2 linked regions of the Saccharomyces cerevisiae S288C genome follow. The gene in region 1 interacts genetically with each later gene. Each region holds a gene or a part of one and is shown on either strand. Other genes may lie near its edges.

Evidence for each region.
Region 2: mutations in PSG1 (region 1) and PMA1 together harm fitness more than expected from each alone (negative genetic interaction), as found in Saccharomyces cerevisiae (2 studies listed by BioGRID).

The regions. Positions count from the first base shown.
Region 1 is NC_001143.9:286,852-295,641, forward strand, and holds PSG1 (Psg1p), read left to right. Parts: upstream 1-4,601; coding exon 4,602-5,780; downstream 5,781-8,790. Other genes in the region: SMY1 (Smy1p), read left to right, coding at 1-1,722; DHR2 (RNA helicase), read left to right, coding at 1,994-4,201; AAN1 (Aan1p), read right to left, coding at 6,105-7,457; MUD2 (Mud2p), read right to left, coding at 7,759-8,790. UniProt on the Saccharomyces cerevisiae protein: With EXP1, the specific cargo receptor protein for the plasma membrane ATPase PMA1, is involved in the transport and/or maturation of PMA1.
Region 2 is NC_001139.9:479,410-490,856, reverse strand, and holds PMA1 (H(+)-exporting P2-type ATPase PMA1), read left to right. Parts: upstream 1-8,190; coding exon 8,191-10,947; downstream 10,948-11,447. Other genes in the region: RPN14 (Rpn14p), read left to right, coding at 1-154; Golgi transport complex subunit COG7, read left to right, coding at 310-1,149; calcium-transporting ATPase PMC1, read right to left, coding at 1,415-4,936; YGL006W-A (uncharacterized protein), read right to left, coding at 5,324-5,434; BRP1 (Brp1p), read right to left, coding at 7,220-7,597; YGL007C-A (uncharacterized protein), read left to right, coding at 7,830-7,916. UniProt on the Saccharomyces cerevisiae protein: The plasma membrane ATPase of plants and fungi is a hydrogen ion pump. The proton gradient it generates drives the active transport of nutrients by H(+)-symport. The resulting external acidification and/or internal alkinization may mediate growth responses.

The sequences.
Region 1 (8,790 bases):
AACGCCACTCAAGAAGATGTTCAGAAATTTCTGGTGCATCCAATAATAAATGATGTTTTGAATGGTTATAACGGTACTGTAATAACATATGGACCAAGTTTCAGCGGAAAGTCCTATTCCCTTATTGGATCAAAAGAAAGCGAAGGAATTCTACCGAACATATGCAAGACCTTGTTTGATACGCTAGAAAAAAATGAAGAAACAAAGGGAGATAGTTTTAGCGTAAGTGTTTTGGCATTCGAAATATATATGGAGAAAACGTATGACTTATTGGTACCTTTACCTGAAAGAAAACCATTAAAGCTTCACCGTTCTTCAAGCAAAATGGACTTAGAAATCAAAGATATTTGTCCGGCACATGTCGGATCGTATGAAGACTTAAGAAGCTACATTCAGGCAGTCCAAAACGTCGGCAATAGGATGGCATGTGGCGACAAGACAGAGAGATCAAGATCACACCTAGTTTTTCAATTACACGTAGAACAAAGGAATAGAAAAGATGATATATTAAAAAATAGTTCTTTATATCTGGTTGATTTACACGGGGCAGAGAAGTTCGATAAAAGAACTGAAAGTACGCTATCACAAGATGCGTTAAAAAAATTAAACCAATCTATTGAGGCGTTGAAAAACACTGTGCGGTCCTTGTCAATGAAAGAGCGTGATTCAGCCTACAGCGCAAAAGGATCACATAGTTCTGCTTACCGTGAATCGCAATTAACTGAAGTGTTAAAAGATTCCCTTGGGGGAAATAGGAAAACAAAGGTGATATTGACATGTTTCTTAAGTAATGTTCCAACTACCCTATCAACACTAGAATTTGGTGACAGTATTAGACAGATCAATAACAAGGTTACAGATAACACCACAGGTTTAAATCTGAAAAAAAAAATGGATCTATTTATTCAGGACATGAAAATTAAGGATGATAATTATGTTGCCCAAATTAATATACTAAAGGCTGAAATAGACTCTTTAAAAAGCCTTCACAATAAATCTCTTCCCGAAGACGACGAGAAAAAAATGTTAGAAAATACAAAGAAAGAAAATATCAAACTAAAGCTTCAATTAGACAGTATTACCCAATTATTGAGTAGTTCTACCAATGAAGATCCTAACAATCGTATTGACGAAGAAGTTTCTGAAATATTAACGAAAAGATGCGAACAGATTGCTCAGCTTGAGTTATCTTTTGATCGACAGATGAATTCCAATTCTAAGTTGCAGCAAGAGTTAGAATACAAAAAGTCAAAAGAGGAAGCCTTAGAGTCTATGAACGTTAGGCTACTAGAACAAATTCAGCTTCAGGAAAGAGAGATTCAAGAGCTTTTAACTACTAACGCCATCTTAAAGGGTGAACTAGAAACTCACACTAAACTTACTGAAACACGCAGTGAAAGGATAAAATCTTTGGAAAGTTCTGTCAAAGAGCTTTCTCTTAATAAATCTGCAATCCCATCTCCTAGAAGAGGGTCTATGAGCTCGTCATCAGGAAATACTATGTTGCATATCGAGGAGGGTTCTGAAATATCAAATAGCCCTTGGTCAGCCAATACTTCCTCAAAACCTTTAGTATGGGGCGCGAGAAAGGTTTCTTCTAGCAGTATAGCAACCACTGGATCACAGGAGTCTTTTGTGGCAAGACCGTTCAAGAAGGGATTAAACCTCCATTCGATAAAAGTCACTTCGAGTACTCCAAAAAGTCCCTCTTCTGGAAGCTGACTATAATTAAGTTCGATAATTGTACGATACAACTGTGTAGTATCTTTGTAATTATAATCATGATGATAACGCTAATAATTTGTACGTATAATGCTGACTGAAAGATGTACTTTTCTTCTACCGTTTTTCTTCGGCGGCTATTCGTTTACAATGATTTGGAAAAATGAGAAAAATTGAAAATAAAAAATTCTGCTCGATGAGATGAGATGAGGTTATGATATATATGTAAGAATTCCTCAAGAAGAGGTTGCAAGAGTCTGCAGACATTATCATGGCAGCAAATAGCAATAGTAGAGTTGCATCAAACCATACTTCTAAAAAACAAAAGGTTAGGAGGAATATACATCCATTCACGAATAACACTCGGATTAAAAGAGCTAGTAAAATCGTAAAGTTTAATGATTCAGGCGAGGGCGACCATGTTTCAGACCAACGTTCGAACAAGGAAAATGTCCTTACTTATAAATCTTTGAAAAGTCGGGCAAGCGATTTACTCAAAATGAGAGAAACACTTCCCGTTTACCAACACAAGCGAGAAATAATGTCATATATTGAAAGCAATCCCGTTACCGTCCTTATTGGTGAAACAGGTTCTGGTAAATCAACACAAATTCCGCAATTCGTATTAGAAAAATTATATGATACGAAGAAGCATGGGTCGATTGCTGTAACTCAACCCCGTCGTGTTGCGGCCATCAATTTGGCTACACGTGTTGCTCAAGAACATGGTTGCAAACTGGGTGAACAAGTAGGTTATTCTGTCAGATTTGACAATACGACTACTACAAGAACAAGACTTAAGTATCTGACTGACGGTATGTTACTTAGAGAACTTATGATGAATAGTGACCTTAGAGAATACAGCGTCATCGTTATCGATGAAGCGCATGAAAGAACTGTGCTTACAGATTTGATATTGGGGTTCTTAAAATCCTTGATACAAGGGCCAAGACCTGATTTGAGAATAATTGTTATGTCTGCAACATTGCAAGCCGAAAAATTTAGTGAGTTCTTCAATAATGCCCCAATCTTATTTGTAGAAGGAAGAAAATTTGATGTCAAACAATACTACTTGAAGGCGCCAACAGATGATATAGTAGACGCTGTCATCAGGTGTTGTATACAAATAAACCAAGGTGAAGAACTGGGAGATATCTTATGTTTTTTACCGGGCCAAGAAGAGATTGACAAAGCAGTGACTATAATGGAGAAAATTGCAAAGTATGTTTCAGATGAGGCCCCAGTACCATTAATAGTTCCTTATCCTTTATATGCAGCTCTTCCCGCGGTCCAACAGTCCTTGGTCTTCGCTCCGATAAAGGGTTTCAAGAGAAAAGTCGTCTTTAGTACCAATATTGCAGAAACATCTGTTACCATATCCGGTGTTAAATTTGTCGTTGATTCTGGTCTTCGAAAAGTCAAAGTTTGGAGACATCAGCTGGGATTAGCCACTCTACTTACCGTACCCATTTCTCAGGCAAGTGCGATGCAGAGAAGTGGTCGTGCTGGTAGAGAAAGTGAAGGAAAGAGTTTCAGGCTTTATTGTGAGTCTGATTATGTGAAATTACCTAAACAAAGTGAACCTGAAATAGCCAGAAGTGACGTCACATCTCCTGTGTTAATGTTGAAGAGATATGGTGTTGATGACCTGCTAAACTGGACCTGGTTTGAGAACCCTGGAAAGGAAGCTATAGTAATGGGGCTTCAGGAACTTTATGAATTGGGTGCTCTTGACACTCGTGGAAAGATAACTAAACGGGGTCAACAAATGGCTCTGTTACCGCTACAACCGCATTTAAGTAGTGTCTTAATTAAAGCCAGTGAAGTCGGATGTTTGAGTCAGGTCATTGATATCGTCTCTTGCCTTAGTGTGGAAAATTTACTGTTGAATCCGTCACCAGAAGAAAGAGATGAGGTGAACGAGCGTCGTTTGTCCTTATGCAACGCTGGTAAAAGGTATGGTGACCTTATCATGCTGAAAGAGCTTTTTGATATCTATTTCTACGAACTAGGGAAAAGTCAAGATGCAAGCTCTGAAAGAAATGATTGGTGTAAAGGATTGTGTATTTCGATACGTGGGTTTAAAAATGTAATTCGTGTCAGAGACCAGTTAAGAGTTTATTGTAAGCGTTTGTTTTCTTCAATCAGTGAAGAGGATGAAGAATCCAAAAAGATTGGTGAAGATGGCGAGCTAATTTCGAAAATTTTAAAGTGTTTCTTAACTGGGTTTATCAAGAATACAGCTATAGGGATGCCAGACAGGTCTTATAGAACTGTTTCCACTGGAGAGCCGATAAGCATTCATCCATCATCTATGCTATTTATGAATAAAAGCTGCCCCGGTATAATGTACACGGAGTATGTCTTTACTACGAAGGGATATGCCAGAAATGTTAGTAGGATTGAACTTTCATGGTTACAAGAAGTTGTCACTAATGCAGCCGCTGTAGCAAAGCAAAAAGTTTCTGATTCAAAATAAGTCACCTACTCTTAGCGCATTTTTATTGTATATAAAGGCATTTAATGTAATTTATAGAGCATTATAAATCGTAACAACTACTGCAGTATGAGTTTCATGGATTCATTTCTCAATATCTTATGAATATACACAGGTATATATGTATATTCATGTTAAACGCCTTTCGAATTGTTCGTTGGCTTTTTTTGTGAAATTATCTCGGGAAAAGGGCGAAATTATATTATTTTGCCGTTGACATTTTGAAAAGGAATAAAAGATCATGAAAAAAATAAGAAAGGCAATTCGACGCATTTCTCTCAGCAAGCTATTCTTTACTTTTGAAGAACAAAATATTTTAGCAAAAAGGTTAAGACAATATAGTCGGAAGCAGTTCTGCGGGATCTGAAGGAATTGCGGAATAATGAGATTTCACGATAGTATACTTATCTTCTTTTCTTTGGCATCGCTTTATCAACATGTTCATGGTGCAAGACAAGTCGTTCGTCCAAAGGAGAAAATGACTACTTCAGAAGAAGTTAAACCTTGGTTACGTACGGTTTATGGAAGTCAAAAAGAATTAGTCACTCCTACGGTCATTGCCGGTGTCACTTTTTCTGAAAAACCAGAAGAAACACCAAATCCATTGAAACCTTGGGTATCTTTAGAGCATGATGGTAGGCCAAAAACCATTAAACCAGAAATCAACAAAGGTCGAACCAAGAAGGGAAGACCTGATTACTCAACTTACTTCAAAACGGTAAGTTCCCACACATATTCTTATGAAGAATTGAAGGCTCACAATATGGGCCCTAATGAAGTTTTTGTAGAAGAAGAGTATATTGATGAAGATGACACCTACGTCTCCCTGAATCCTATTGTCAGATGTACTCCTAATCTTTACTTCAATAAAGGTCTAGCAAAGGATATCCGCAGTGAGCCATTTTGTACCCCTTATGAGAATTCTAGATGGAAGGTTGACAAGACTTACTTCGTTACTTGGTATACAAGATTTTTTACAGATGAGAATTCCGGTAAAGTTGCTGATAAGGTTCGTGTTCATTTGTCCTATGTTAAAGAAAACCCCGTAGAGAAGGGCAATTATAAAAGAGATATCCCTGCAACTTTTTTCTCTTCCGAATGGATTGATAATGACAACGGTCTAATGCCGGTTGAGGTCAGAGATGAATGGCTGCAGGACCAATTTGATCGTAGGATCGTTGTATCAGTTCAGCCAATATACATATCAGATGAAGATTTCGATCCACTACAATACGGTATTTTATTATACATCACTAAGGGTTCAAAAGTGTTTAAGCCTACTAAGGAGCAACTGGCTTTAGACGATGCAGGTATAACAAATGATCAGTGGTATTATGTTGCATTATCTATCCCTACTGTCGTGGTGGTATTTTTCGTCTTCATGTACTTTTTCTTATATGTCAACGGGAAAAACAGAGATTTCACAGATGTTACTAGAAAAGCTTTAAACAAGAAACGCCGTGTTTTGGGTAAGTTCTCGGAGATGAAGAAATTCAAAAACATGAAAAATCACAAGTACACCGAATTGCCATCTTATAAGAAAACCAGTAAACAAAATTAGATTCCCTTCGAAGTATGCATTCACCCTTCCTCGAGAGGGCTGTTTTTATCTTCCGTCACACTAATAGAAAACCACTCTATCCAGTTTTTTTTGTTACTTAACTTATCTTAACTCGATATTGTATAAATACTGAAGTCCATATACTTCTTTTTTTCTCCTTTGGATAGTAAATACGGTAAATTAAAATTAGTGTAAACTGAACAATATTAACATATATAAATCATCTGTACGACAATTTGATACCAAATAAATAGAGAATGCATCAGCATCCTCCAGGGTTCAAAAGAAAACGCTGGATCTTGCTTCTTTTCCTTTGATTTCTCCTTATATCCATTTCTGTCTTGCAGCAACTTCACATATTTTTTCCAGTGTAATGACCCTTGGATCAGGCTTAAAATGACGCTCAACCACATTATCATCTCCTTCCACATTCCTGCTAAGTAAGCTTTCTTCGTCGCCCTCGCTATTGTCCACATTATCTTCATCTTCATCATCATCTCCGCCGACGTCTTCAATGTAGTAGAAAAAGGGTTCCAACACCAACATAATTTTCCAGAAGTTGTTCGTGCCACAATTAGCAAACAAGACATCTACAAGGGCAGGTAGGTATTCCAATTCAATGTACTCCTCTGCGCAACAAACAAATTCATCTAATTCGTAATCTTGCTCATCAGCAGATAATGTAGAATACATTTCTGATAACAACGTTAATTCTTTGCTAATTGTTTTTGGAATATCTTCTCGAGCTTGCCATAACAGCTTTTGCGCTCTTTCCAGTCTTTCTTGGCTAACGGCATCATCCTTGCTCTCTTTTTCGCCTTTATCACCTTGGACATTTTCGGAGTCTTGTAGAGAAGGCAAGAATCCGTTCTTTTCGCTTTTGACCATAAGCTCATTGTATTCGTTATAGAGGGAGATAATTTTCATCATAGGCTTGTATAATTGCTGACAGACTTTCATTTCCGAGTAAGGTACAATGACTTTTTCCAAATAGTGATTGATCAGTCCTTCCATGAAGTTTGCCCAAATTGACGAAAATACATAATCCTCGTCGTAAGTCGATTCCGTAAAATCTTGGTTGATGTTATGCTGTATGATTTGCTCTGTAAGAGTTGGGAAAAGGTTTTTATGGCTTTTGACCATTTCATCTCTCAAAGCAGTAGATCCAGCGCTATCTGCTCCTTTAGTAGAATTTTCCAAACTATTATCTGTTGAAGACGCCTCTGAGTTCTTTTCACCATCTGTCTTATCTAGCCAGTATTCCGGACCACCCTTTTCAGACAATGTCACCAATAAAAGGAAGAGTTTTACTTTAACCCACGGGTTTAGCGAGTTTACATAGGCGTCCGTAATTTTGCTAACATCGATATTTATTTTTCTATGGATGCATTTGATAAATTTTTCAATGTAATGTGATTTTTTCAATCCGTATTTTTCATTCAGATATCCAACCGAAGTGATTACGTCGTAATTTGTATTTTCCATGTTCGTATGCTTCAAAAAGTTGAATGTTAACTTTCGTCTATTTCCATAATGTCTTTCTCTTTTCTCCTCACCTTTCTTCTTTCTTCTAATCTTTTTTTCTTTTGAAGCACCCAATTTAAGACATCTTTTACAGGTACAGTCCTTTAACGATGGCTCGTTGGCCGCTTGCTTGGGCAATAAATCTTTAGCCATCTTCTTTGGCGCGCTATACTAGGCTTGATTTATAATGTTAGTTATTCCAAAAATGTGAAGGAAATTGATCAAGGCAAGCTCTAATGATGATTATTGACCCATGCAACAAAAAAAGTTTGAATTCTCTTAATTTTCCAGATCGCAAGTTAGTAGTCAATCTGCTAACTTTCGTTATATTTCAAAAAAGTAATTGTACAAAAAAAGTCACCAAAAACGAGGACTTTTTTCACTGCGTTAAAGATTAGATCTACATAATGAATACTCAATTCTTTACTTAATTTCGCTCTACAAAATAGACCATTTAGGAAAGTTGGGTTGCTTCCATCATGTCAAAGTCGTCCTCATCTATATAAGTACACAGAACAGTGCGATCGTTGAATTGCGTACCCGGCAATTCTTCCATTGCGTGTTTTGCTGCCTCCAAGGTCTTGAACTTGATATAAATATTACCGGCTCCGGAAGCCAAGTTTTCAAAATTAAGTCTGTAATCGACGCCGGGTTGGCATATTTTAATCGTATCTGCTCCCGCGATACTATACTTTAATGTTTCTTTAATTTCTGTGATAAAGGTTTCATCTTTCAAATCCAATGGATCAAGACAATTTAAGAGCAACAAAACTCTCGATTCAACACGAACAGATTGGGTAACCAGATTTGGCAGGCTTTGAAACGTAATCCATGAAGTAACTTGTGATATCTTTCCATCATTTGGCTTGAACCATTTGTATGGTTTTAATTTATCAAGAATATCCTGAGTGACGACTTCAAACGATAATAGAATACATTTAGTGAATTCGGATTCTTTGCCAGTGTTGTTTGTATTGGACGAACATTTGTAAAAAAGTGGCTTAGCGGTACCGTTTGTTACATTCAATGACGAAAAAAGCTCTTTCATTCTATAATCTTCACCCTCGCCTATATTTTCCAAATTTTCCAATGCAATTACCGTACCCCTGCAAAAATCGACCAGATGATCAAGTTGTTGAACATAATCATTAGGTCTTCTCCATTTTAAGTCGAAAGTACCAAGCTTCGCATTAAAGAATGATCGACAGGCCAAAACCATAGTGCTACAGATCTGAGAACTAAACTCAACAATAATATGGTCCGGCCTTCCTTCACCAATATAAAAGTTGGAAATTTTAAAGTCCTCCGCATTACTCTCAGTTTTCTGGAGACCTGAAATAAAATTTTCCAGCAAATCTTTCAATCTTGCTACAATGCTGGGGTCGCTGCTTTGAGACAAGCCCGAAATTACAAGCCTTGAATTTGCCTTGGATGAGGCCATGTTGTAGTAAGCCGGAGAATCGAATGATGAACCCGGGTACATTAC
Region 2 (11,447 bases), on another chromosome or scaffold:
GCCCGCTATTGAATTTGAGACGCCCACCTTTTTAGTTTCCAATGACGATGAGGTCAGCCAATTCTGTTACGTTTCTGATGATGAATCAAATGGGGAGGTGCTTGAAGTTGGAAAAAACAACTTCTGCGCTTTGTATAACTTAAGTAATCCTTAACCTCTTTCGTACTAGTAACTTTTTCAAAAAAGTTCACTTCGCTGCATGAGCTTGGCGTAATGCGCTTTGAGGGTGATAATGCATTTTATTTCCATATGAAATATGTCTAAAATAGAACAATTCACTAAGAACAAGAAGGCCAAACTAAGCAGAATATGGTAGAGTTGACAATTACGGGTGATGATGATGATATATTGAGTATGTTTTTTGATGAGGAGTTCGTTCCCCATGCATTCGTTGATATACTCTTATCAAATGCCTTAAACGAAGATCAGATTCAAACGCAATCAGTATCCTCATTGCTATTAACCAGGTTGGATTTTTACACAAAGAACCTTACAAAAGAGTTGGAAAGCACCATATGGAATTTGGATAAATTATCTCAAACGTTACCAAGAACTTGGGCATCTTCTAGGTATCACAAAGAAGCAGAACAGAACGATTCCTCATTGTATTCTACTGAATCCTTAAAATCATCGAAGCTTGAATATTACTTAGATACGTTGGCAAGTGCTGTAAGAGCATTAGAAACAGGAATGCATAATGTAACTGAGAAACTAAGCGATCTAGATAACGAAAATAATCGCAATACCAATGTGAGGCAACAACTGCAAAGTTTAATGTTGATTAAGGAGAGAATTGAAAAAGTGGTATATTACCTGGAACAAGTTAGGACCGTTACGAATATTTCGACAGTTAGAGAAAATAATACAACCAGCACGGGGACAGATCTTTCGATAACAGATTTTAGAACATCATTGAAAGCATTAGAGGATACAATCGATGAATCTTTAAGCTCTGCGATTGATAACGAGGCTAAAGATGAAACAAACAAGGATTTGATTGGGAGAATTGATTCACTTTCTGAACTGAAATGTCTGTTTAAAGGCCTAGATAAGTTCTTTGCTGAGTATAGCAACTTTTCGGAGAGCATAAAATCAAAAGCACAAAGTTATTTATCAACCAAGAATATTGACGATGGTATGATATCATAATCGGTGATAAAAACAAAAAATTTGCAATTAACAAAAGAAATTTATAGCATGTTTAAATTCTTATTTCTTTTTACCATTTCCAGTCCTTTTGGTCCACTTGTAATGCATAAAAGGGTAAAAAGGAATTTGTTTAGGAGGACATGCTATTTCAGATAGTTTCTTTTTATTGATTATATAATATAGTGTACAATTTTGAAAATATAACTATTACACACATCTTTTCATTTGGTCACTTACATTTGTATAAACATATAGAGCGCGTCTATTAATAAAAGGCGGTGGACTCTGGACTATCAGATTCCTCCAACAGCGCTTCTTCATCGTCGTGTTTTCCAGTATGGTTTTTTCTGAGGAACTCGAGTCCAAATACGTACTTGAATCTTTGAACGAAAGCAGCCGGAAATACCTTCACTGCTACTTCATCGGGGCAGATTCTCACTAGCACCCCCATGATTAGAGACAACATACCACACAGTACCGCGGTTATCCACATTGATTTGGTTTGTCTGGCAATAGAAAATGGTGCGCCACCAAAAAACATGATTAAAACTTGACAGCTGCCAATGATCGCCATGATCGTGAGAAAATAATAGTTTCTACCCAAGTCTTGGAAGAAATTCAAATTGGCGGCAGAAATCCTGCCTCTCCAGTTTGATATACCATCACCTTCATCTAATTTTCTCGATACTAACATGGTAAAAAATTGCAACCAAACAAAAGTGTTGAATGTCATGGCATTCAGTTGCTGCTGTTGGTGACTTGTTATTTCATCTTCATGTTTCTTGAAGAATAACTCTGGCCCGTAAAAATGCAAAATGAAAGTAACTATCAACTGCAATGTAGCTTGTGATAGAATCATTTTCCAAGTTGACACAGAAATCAAAGAAGTTGAGCGGCCCCTAGGTTTTCTGTCCATGATATTTGGATCGGGTTTATCAGTGGCTAAAGCTAAAGCTGCTAGAGTATCCATGATTAGATTGATCCATAACAGTTGGACCGCCGTCAGTACTGATGTTTCATCACTAGATGCAACGGATGAAACGAACGTTAAAATCACTGCGGTGATATTAACAATTAATTGAAACTGTATGAACTTTTTTATGGAGACTGAAACACATCTTCCCCACTTAATAGCGTTGACAATAGCTGAGAAATCATCAGTCATCAAAATAATGTCAGAAGCCTCTCTGGCAACCTCCGTACCGGAAATACCCATTGAGAAACCAACATCAGCTAGCTTTAAAGCTGGAGCATCGTTCGTACCATCGCCAGTGACCGCAACAACATCTCCCATCCCCTTCAATGTTTCTACTAATAACCTTTTATCCTCAGGCGAAGACCTTGCTAAGACCCTTAAATTTGGCAGGATTCTTATACGTTCGTTTTTCGTTAACTTTCTGAATTCAGTGCCTTCCATTGCAGAATAAGCCTCTGAACTAATATCAGTAGAAAGAATCGCACAATTCCTCGCGATTGCTTTTGCTGTTAATATATTGTCACCAGTAACCATACGCACAGTTACACCAGCACGTTGGCACTGTTGTACTGACTCCCTAACGCCTGCACGTAAAGGGTCTTGAATCCCAAGTAAACCATCTAGAATTAAGCCCTTTTGACTGTTAAATAGCAAGTCAAGAGCAGCTATATTTGGTGAGTCTTTATCACGCAGCTGTTCAGGGGGCCAGCTATCACATTCGCAGAAATCTTTGTGGGCAACACTTATGGCTCTGAGAGCATCGGACGCAAGATTTTTGATTTCATCATCAGTTTCTTTTTTATTGTCCTCATTGATTTCTTCCAAAGTATCATCTGAATTCCTCTTGTACGAACAATTCTTGGAAACAATTTCTGCTGCACCTTTAATGAAAAACCTGTAAAATGGTTTTTTATTTTTGCCTTCTTTGTACTTTACCACTAAGCCGGCCCATTTACGAGAACTTTCAAACGGAATTGTTTGAACAACTTTTTCGATATTAAACTTTTCCATCGGTTGATCTCTCAAATATTGCAATTCTCCCGGTTGTAATCCTAATGATAATCTTGCCAAACTGAGTAAGGCTGTTTCCGTTTTAGAGCCAATAAAGGGTTCTTGCCTACCCTTGTTGACATTTTTGAATAATTGATCCTCGTCATCTTCCCTGTTGCCTTTTTTAAAAAACGATAATCTAGATTTACACTTATCTAAAAAACTCAAATTTTTTGACATATTTTTACTACCATTTGTATTTTTATCGTTTTTCTTATAATCTCTGTTTTCGAAGGCGGTAGAATTCAGGACAATATTGGCTAATAAATCATTTCTCAAGGATGACGAACAATTTTCTTCAAAAACTTTCTTAGAATTCAGCTTCCTTTGTTCGCTAACGGGCAACGATTTACTATCATCAAATTTAGAATTGCCCGGGAAGCCACGAACGACAGTCATGACATTTTCTGTCAAAGTGCCAGTCTTATCAGAGCACACTGCAGTAGCAGATCCCATCGTTTCACAGCTTCTTAAAACCCGTACTAAATTACCGTCTTTTGTCATTCTTGTTGTTGCAAACGCTAAGGCCAAAGTTACAGCTAATGGTAAACCTTCCGGAACAGCCACCACAATAACCGTGATAGATGTGATAAAAATGTTCATAAATTTAGAACCCTTTTGAGCGGGATCTAGATCATGGAACCTGCCATCCTCAGGTATTATGTAAAATAAGTACCTAGTGAAAAGGACCAAGAAAAGAATTATAGCAGACACGCAACCGTAAACGGATATATTATCAGCCAATTGGCTCAAATGTAACTGTAATGGAGTACTTTCAGGTTCGGCATTTAATGAAGTCATGGTTTGACCGTAAACTGAGTTTATACCCACGGACGTGATGACACCCCTGCCCAAGCCAGAGAGAATTCTGGAACCTGAAATCAACATACAATCAGCAATCTTGTTACCGTCTTCGTTAACGTCACCTATATCTAATGGTTTGCTATGGTTATGACTATCGATAGAATTAAATTTTTTGAAATCTCTTAATGAGTTATCCACCGGAAATTTCTGTATTGTGTTAGATTCACCAGTGATGGATGATTCATCTGCCTCACACTTCCCTGATATCATAACACAATCAGCGGGGACAACATCACCGGTTTGTAATGAAATGACATCACCGACTAAAACGTGGTGAATGGAAATTAATATTTCCTGATCATTTCTTATGACTATAATTTTACGGTTTTCCTTCTTTTTATTTAGCTTTGCAAATTGCAACTCCTTCTGGTAATCGTTAGCGGCACTCACTAGAACTACCACAAAGACCGCAATCATGATAGCAACCCCTTCAATCCAGTCAACTTGCTTAATTTTATTTCCTTCAGGATCATACTGTGGAGGTTGCATCCATAGTTCGTATAGACCTAAAACAAAGGAAACAACAGCGGCGACTGTCAGTAATTGCATTGTTTTGTCATTAAAAGCAGCCCATACTAATTGTAAAAAAGACTTTGGTATTCTTTCAGGAAGTGAATTATCGCCATAATTTTTATACCGGTTTGTCTTTCGATAATTTGATATTTCTGGAAGAGAAATGCCTGCATTTTTATCTGTTTTCAAGTATTTGAAGAGGCTGTTAGACTCATATCCAAATAATCTGACAAATGATCTTATTGATTTAGGGTTATGAAGATCCGAAAGTTGACTTTTTGATAATTTGAAATTATCGTAGACTCCGTTCTCATTTCCCGTATACGATGGTTTGTTATTTTCATTATTCGCTAGTAAAGCAGAATTTTCGTCTTGTCTAGACATTATTTTTTTTGTTACGCACACAGTTTTTTTTTTTTTAGAACCACTTTTCTAAACTTTATTTGTTCAAGTTTTATTTCTTTAATTCAATGTCGTATATATGTGATACAATTCTCTTAATACACTTAGTTTTTACTGGAGGCGCATGAGTTTTTTGACGTTTTCTTAAGCCTTTCTATTGAATGAAAATTACCAGAAAAGCCCCTTCTTCCTCAAATTTATGAAAAAATGTTTATTCTTAACCTAAGCCTTCTCAATTGAATCGTGCCAACCTGACTAAAATGTAGTTTGGGGAAGTGAAAAAATCTGAAGAGATTATTTAATTTTTCGTTAAGCCTGCAATTTATTTTGGTAATAATTGCTAGAAAGAAATCGAATATTTAACGCAATTCAAATAAAGCCTTTCCTTGGGGGGGGGCTGATACTATTTGAATGTTTTTGGAAGGCGCCCATTAAATGCAATGCCAAGTGGCGATGATAATGAATTATGAAGATTAGCATTTGTTTAAAAAGCGTGGAGGGCGCTTCTAGGGCCTGAGCCTCCTAATTTTCTTTTCCCCCTGACAAATGATGGAGAAGCTTCTTTGCCGGGTAAAAACCCTTTTTTTTTATCTTTTCTGCGGGCGGATAAAGCTGTTAGTGCCACATGTTTCTATACAAACTGTATTAAAGTAAAAAAATTAATAGACAATTTAGGCCCCTCAAATGGGTAAAATAGAACATATATCAGTATGCACAGCTCACTATTTTAAAAGCGGCAGGCTTGGAGCTGTAGGACCACACTACTGCGACAAAAAAAGATAAAGTTGTGTTTTATTTATGTTTTGCCGTAAGATCGATACTTTTCTTATTCTCATCAAGAAAACACAAACTGCCAAGAACTAAGAAAAGAAGAGCCGTAAACAATGCTTGTAAACCGAAGTATGAAAAGAAAAACTTGATAATTAAATCATCCCCTTTGGCTCAAATATTTATTTTGTATTATTCATGCTTGATTAGTTTAAGAGTGAACTTTACTATCTTAATTTTATTTTAGCCTTTTCAGCTTATGGCACAATAGTGAAAACAAGATCATGTTAAGTTCTGTACCAGAAGAGAGAACCGATAAATAGTTTAATAAGCAGATCAATGCCAAGAATAAGATAAAACAACTATGGAGACTGATGTAAATATACTTGAAGCCGGGCAATAATATAAGCACCGTGAGCCGATTCTCCTCGATCCTACACTGCACCATATAACGAATGGTCTTGGACTATGGAAGGCAGTAACCAACAACAGAAAAGAGAGATTAATTAGAAAAAGACATTTCTCGAGAGAAAAAAAGTAAAGACCTTATCGTACAACTGTTACTGACATTTTTATTTTAAGAAGCTAAACCCTTATTATTAGCGCGCCCAAGTAGGCGCAAAACTAGAGAAGTCGCAGATGCATCCACCCACTTTTTGCCTTATTTTTCCTTAATTTCAGAAATATAGTTAAAATGAAAAACAAGGACAAGAAAAGAACGGGAAAAAGAAAAGGGGGATTAGCAAACAAAGAAAAGTCCAATAAAATGATTACAGACAGCATTGGATGCGATGAGATGGCAACCAGCGAGATGAGAGCATAGGATTTTCATCCTAGCTGCTTTAGGGAAGACGCACAAAACTTTGTTATGTTTGTAGTAAATATAGAAAAGAAAACAAAAAAGTGCTCGGACGAATCCGGTAGAGCTGTGTCTAGCCTCAATAAGTTTGCCGCATTTGGTAAATCAAAACTGTTTTTCTCTCCGTCATTTGTTTTGAAGCTTGTTCTGTTAGTTTAGGGAAATAGAAAAAAAAAAAAAGGGAAAAAGAAAGAAATCATATGCCCAATGGAGTACGAGAATTGGGGAAAAAGCCTCCATCGGGTTTTTAAACGGGCGTATACATGCTTACCACACTCCCGTAAGCAAGAACAAAGAATTTATCTTGATAAACTGCGTAATAAGTCAATCAATTGCTCTATATACGCGCATATACGTAAAACACAGAATCACATTTTAGTCAGGCCCAAGCCGTATAGGGCGAAAAAGCCCGCGCTTATCAAGTCATCGTAACGAATCAGATCTTTCCAACTGCTATCGCATACGTAAGAGAATTGAAATATTTCTCGGGTACGATACGACATTTTTTCTTTACATTTCTTTACTAAACCCGACGGCACGGGAAAGAAGATGAGACTCGGAACGGAAGCTAGAAGAAAAAGGAAGGACACAGAGATTTTCCGAGATTAACTCAGCTTTGCTAAAGTGCAAAAAGTCGTTTACGTCACCATCGCTGACGGGGAAAAAACAAAACAAGCTTCCTGAAACGGAGAAACATAAACAGGCATTGCTGGGATCACCCATACATCACTCTGTTTTGCCTGACCTTTTCCGGTAATTTGAAAACAAACCCGGTCTCGAAGCGGAGATCCGGCGATAATTACCGCAGAAATAAACCCATACACGAGACGTAGAACCAGCCGCACATGGCCGGAGAAACTCCTGCGAGAATTTCGTAAACTCGCGCGCATTGCATCTGTATTTCCTAATGCGGCACTTCCAGGCCTCGAGACCTCTGACATGCTTTTGACAGGAATAGACATTTTCAGAATGTTATCCATATGCCTTTCGGGTTTTTTTCCTTCCTTTTCCATCATGAAAAATCTCTCGAGACCGTTTATCCATTGCTTTTTTGTTGTCTTTTTCCCTCGTTCACAGAAAGTCTGAAGAAGCTATAGTAGAACTATGAGCTTTTTTTGTTTCTGTTTTCCTTTTTTTTTTTTTTACCTCTGTGGAAATTGTTACTCTCACACTCTTTAGTTCGTTTGTTTGTTTTGTTTATTCCAATTATGACCGGTGACGAAACGTGGTCGATGGTGGGTACCGCTTATGCTCCCCTCCATTAGTTTCGATTATATAAAAAGGCCAAATATTGTATTATTTTCAAATGTCCTATCATTATCGTCTAACATCTAATTTCTCTTAAATTTTTTCTCTTTCTTTCCTATAACACCAATAGTGAAAATCTTTTTTTCTTCTATATCTACAAAAACTTTTTTTTTCTATCAACCTCGTTGATAAATTTTTTCTTTAACAATCGTTAATAATTAATTAATTGGAAAATAACCATTTTTTCTCTCTTTTATACACACATTCAAAAGAAAGAAAAAAAATATACCCCAGCTAGTTAAAGAAAATCATTGAAAAGAATAAGAAGATAAGAAAGATTTAATTATCAAACAATATCAATATGACTGATACATCATCCTCTTCATCATCCTCTTCAGCATCTTCTGTTTCAGCTCATCAGCCAACTCAAGAAAAGCCTGCTAAGACTTACGATGACGCTGCATCTGAATCTTCTGACGATGACGATATCGATGCTTTAATCGAAGAACTACAATCTAATCACGGTGTCGACGACGAAGACAGTGATAACGATGGTCCAGTTGCCGCCGGTGAAGCTAGACCAGTTCCAGAAGAATATTTACAAACTGACCCATCTTACGGTTTAACTTCCGATGAAGTTTTGAAAAGAAGAAAGAAGTACGGTTTGAATCAAATGGCTGACGAAAAAGAATCTTTAGTCGTTAAGTTCGTTATGTTTTTCGTCGGTCCAATTCAATTCGTTATGGAAGCCGCTGCTATTTTGGCTGCCGGTTTGTCCGATTGGGTCGATTTCGGTGTTATCTGTGGTTTGTTAATGTTAAACGCTGGTGTTGGTTTCGTTCAAGAATTCCAAGCTGGTTCTATTGTCGATGAATTGAAAAAGACTTTGGCTAACACTGCTGTTGTTATCAGAGACGGTCAATTGGTTGAAATTCCAGCCAACGAAGTCGTCCCAGGTGATATTTTGCAATTGGAAGATGGTACTGTTATCCCAACTGATGGTCGTATTGTCACTGAAGACTGTTTCTTGCAAATCGATCAATCTGCTATTACTGGTGAATCTTTGGCTGTCGACAAACATTACGGTGACCAAACTTTCTCTTCTTCCACTGTTAAGAGAGGTGAAGGTTTCATGGTTGTTACCGCTACCGGTGACAACACTTTCGTTGGTAGAGCTGCTGCTTTGGTTAACAAAGCCGCTGGTGGTCAAGGTCATTTCACTGAAGTTTTGAACGGTATTGGTATTATCTTATTGGTTTTGGTCATTGCCACTTTGTTGTTGGTCTGGACTGCTTGTTTCTACAGAACCAACGGTATTGTTAGAATCTTGAGATACACTCTAGGTATTACTATTATTGGTGTCCCAGTCGGTTTGCCAGCTGTCGTTACCACCACTATGGCCGTCGGTGCTGCTTACTTGGCTAAGAAACAAGCCATTGTTCAAAAGTTGTCTGCTATTGAATCCTTGGCTGGTGTCGAAATCTTGTGTTCCGACAAAACCGGTACTTTGACCAAGAACAAGTTGTCCTTGCACGAACCATACACTGTTGAAGGTGTTTCTCCAGACGACTTGATGTTGACTGCTTGTTTGGCTGCTTCCAGAAAGAAGAAGGGTTTGGATGCTATTGATAAGGCTTTCTTGAAGTCTTTGAAGCAATATCCAAAGGCTAAGGACGCTTTGACCAAGTACAAGGTTTTGGAATTCCATCCATTTGACCCTGTCTCCAAGAAGGTTACTGCCGTTGTCGAATCTCCAGAAGGTGAAAGAATTGTTTGTGTTAAGGGTGCTCCATTATTCGTCTTGAAGACTGTCGAAGAAGATCACCCAATCCCAGAAGATGTCCATGAAAACTACGAAAACAAGGTTGCTGAATTGGCTTCTAGAGGGTTCCGTGCTTTAGGTGTTGCTAGAAAGAGAGGTGAAGGTCACTGGGAAATCTTGGGTGTTATGCCATGTATGGATCCACCAAGAGACGATACTGCTCAAACTGTTAGCGAAGCTAGACACTTGGGTCTAAGAGTTAAGATGTTAACTGGTGATGCTGTTGGTATTGCTAAGGAAACTTGTAGACAATTGGGTTTGGGTACCAACATTTACAACGCTGAAAGATTAGGTCTAGGTGGCGGTGGTGACATGCCAGGTTCTGAATTAGCTGATTTTGTTGAAAATGCCGATGGTTTCGCTGAAGTTTTCCCACAACATAAATACAGAGTTGTTGAAATCTTGCAAAACAGAGGTTACTTGGTTGCTATGACTGGTGATGGTGTTAACGATGCTCCATCTTTGAAGAAGGCTGATACTGGTATTGCTGTCGAAGGTGCTACTGATGCTGCCAGATCTGCTGCTGATATTGTTTTCTTGGCTCCTGGTCTATCTGCTATTATTGATGCTTTGAAGACCTCCAGACAAATTTTTCACAGAATGTACTCTTACGTTGTTTACCGTATTGCTTTGTCTCTACATTTGGAAATCTTCTTGGGTCTATGGATTGCTATTTTGGATAACTCTTTGGACATTGATTTGATTGTTTTCATCGCTATTTTCGCTGATGTTGCTACTTTGGCTATTGCTTACGATAATGCTCCTTACTCTCCAAAGCCCGTTAAATGGAACCTACCAAGATTATGGGGTATGTCTATTATTTTGGGCATAGTTTTAGCTATAGGTTCTTGGATTACCTTGACTACTATGTTCTTACCAAAGGGTGGTATTATCCAAAACTTCGGTGCTATGAACGGTATTATGTTCTTGCAAATTTCCTTGACTGAAAACTGGTTGATTTTCATTACCAGAGCTGCTGGTCCATTCTGGTCTTCTATCCCATCCTGGCAATTGGCTGGTGCCGTCTTCGCTGTCGACATCATCGCTACCATGTTTACCTTATTCGGTTGGTGGTCTGAAAACTGGACTGATATTGTTACTGTCGTCCGTGTCTGGATCTGGTCTATCGGTATCTTCTGTGTTTTGGGTGGTTTCTACTACGAAATGTCCACTTCTGAAGCCTTTGACAGATTGATGAACGGTAAGCCAATGAAGGAAAAGAAGTCTACCAGAAGTGTCGAAGACTTCATGGCTGCTATGCAAAGAGTCTCTACTCAACACGAAAAGGAAACCTAATCCTGTTGAAGTAGCATTTAATCATAATTTTTGTCACATTTTAATCAACTTGATTTTTCTGGTTTAATTTTTCTAATTTTAATTTTAATTTTTTTATCAATGGGAACTGATACACTAAAAAGAATTAGGAGCCAACAAGAATAAGCCGCTTATTTCCTACTAGAGTTTGCTTAAAATTTCATCTCGAATTGTCATTCTAATATTTTATCCACACACACACCTTAAAATTTTTAGATTAAATGGCATCAACTCTTAGCTTCACACACACACACACACCGAAGCTGGTTGTTTTATTTGATTTGATATAATTGGTTTCTCTGGATGGTACTTTTTCTTTCTTGGTTATTTCCTATTTTAAAATATGAAACGCACACAAGTCATAATTATTCTAATAGAGCACAATTCACAACACGCACATTTCAACTTTAATATTTTTTTAGAAACACTTTATTTAGTCTAATTCTTAATTTTTAATATATATAATGCACACACACTAATTT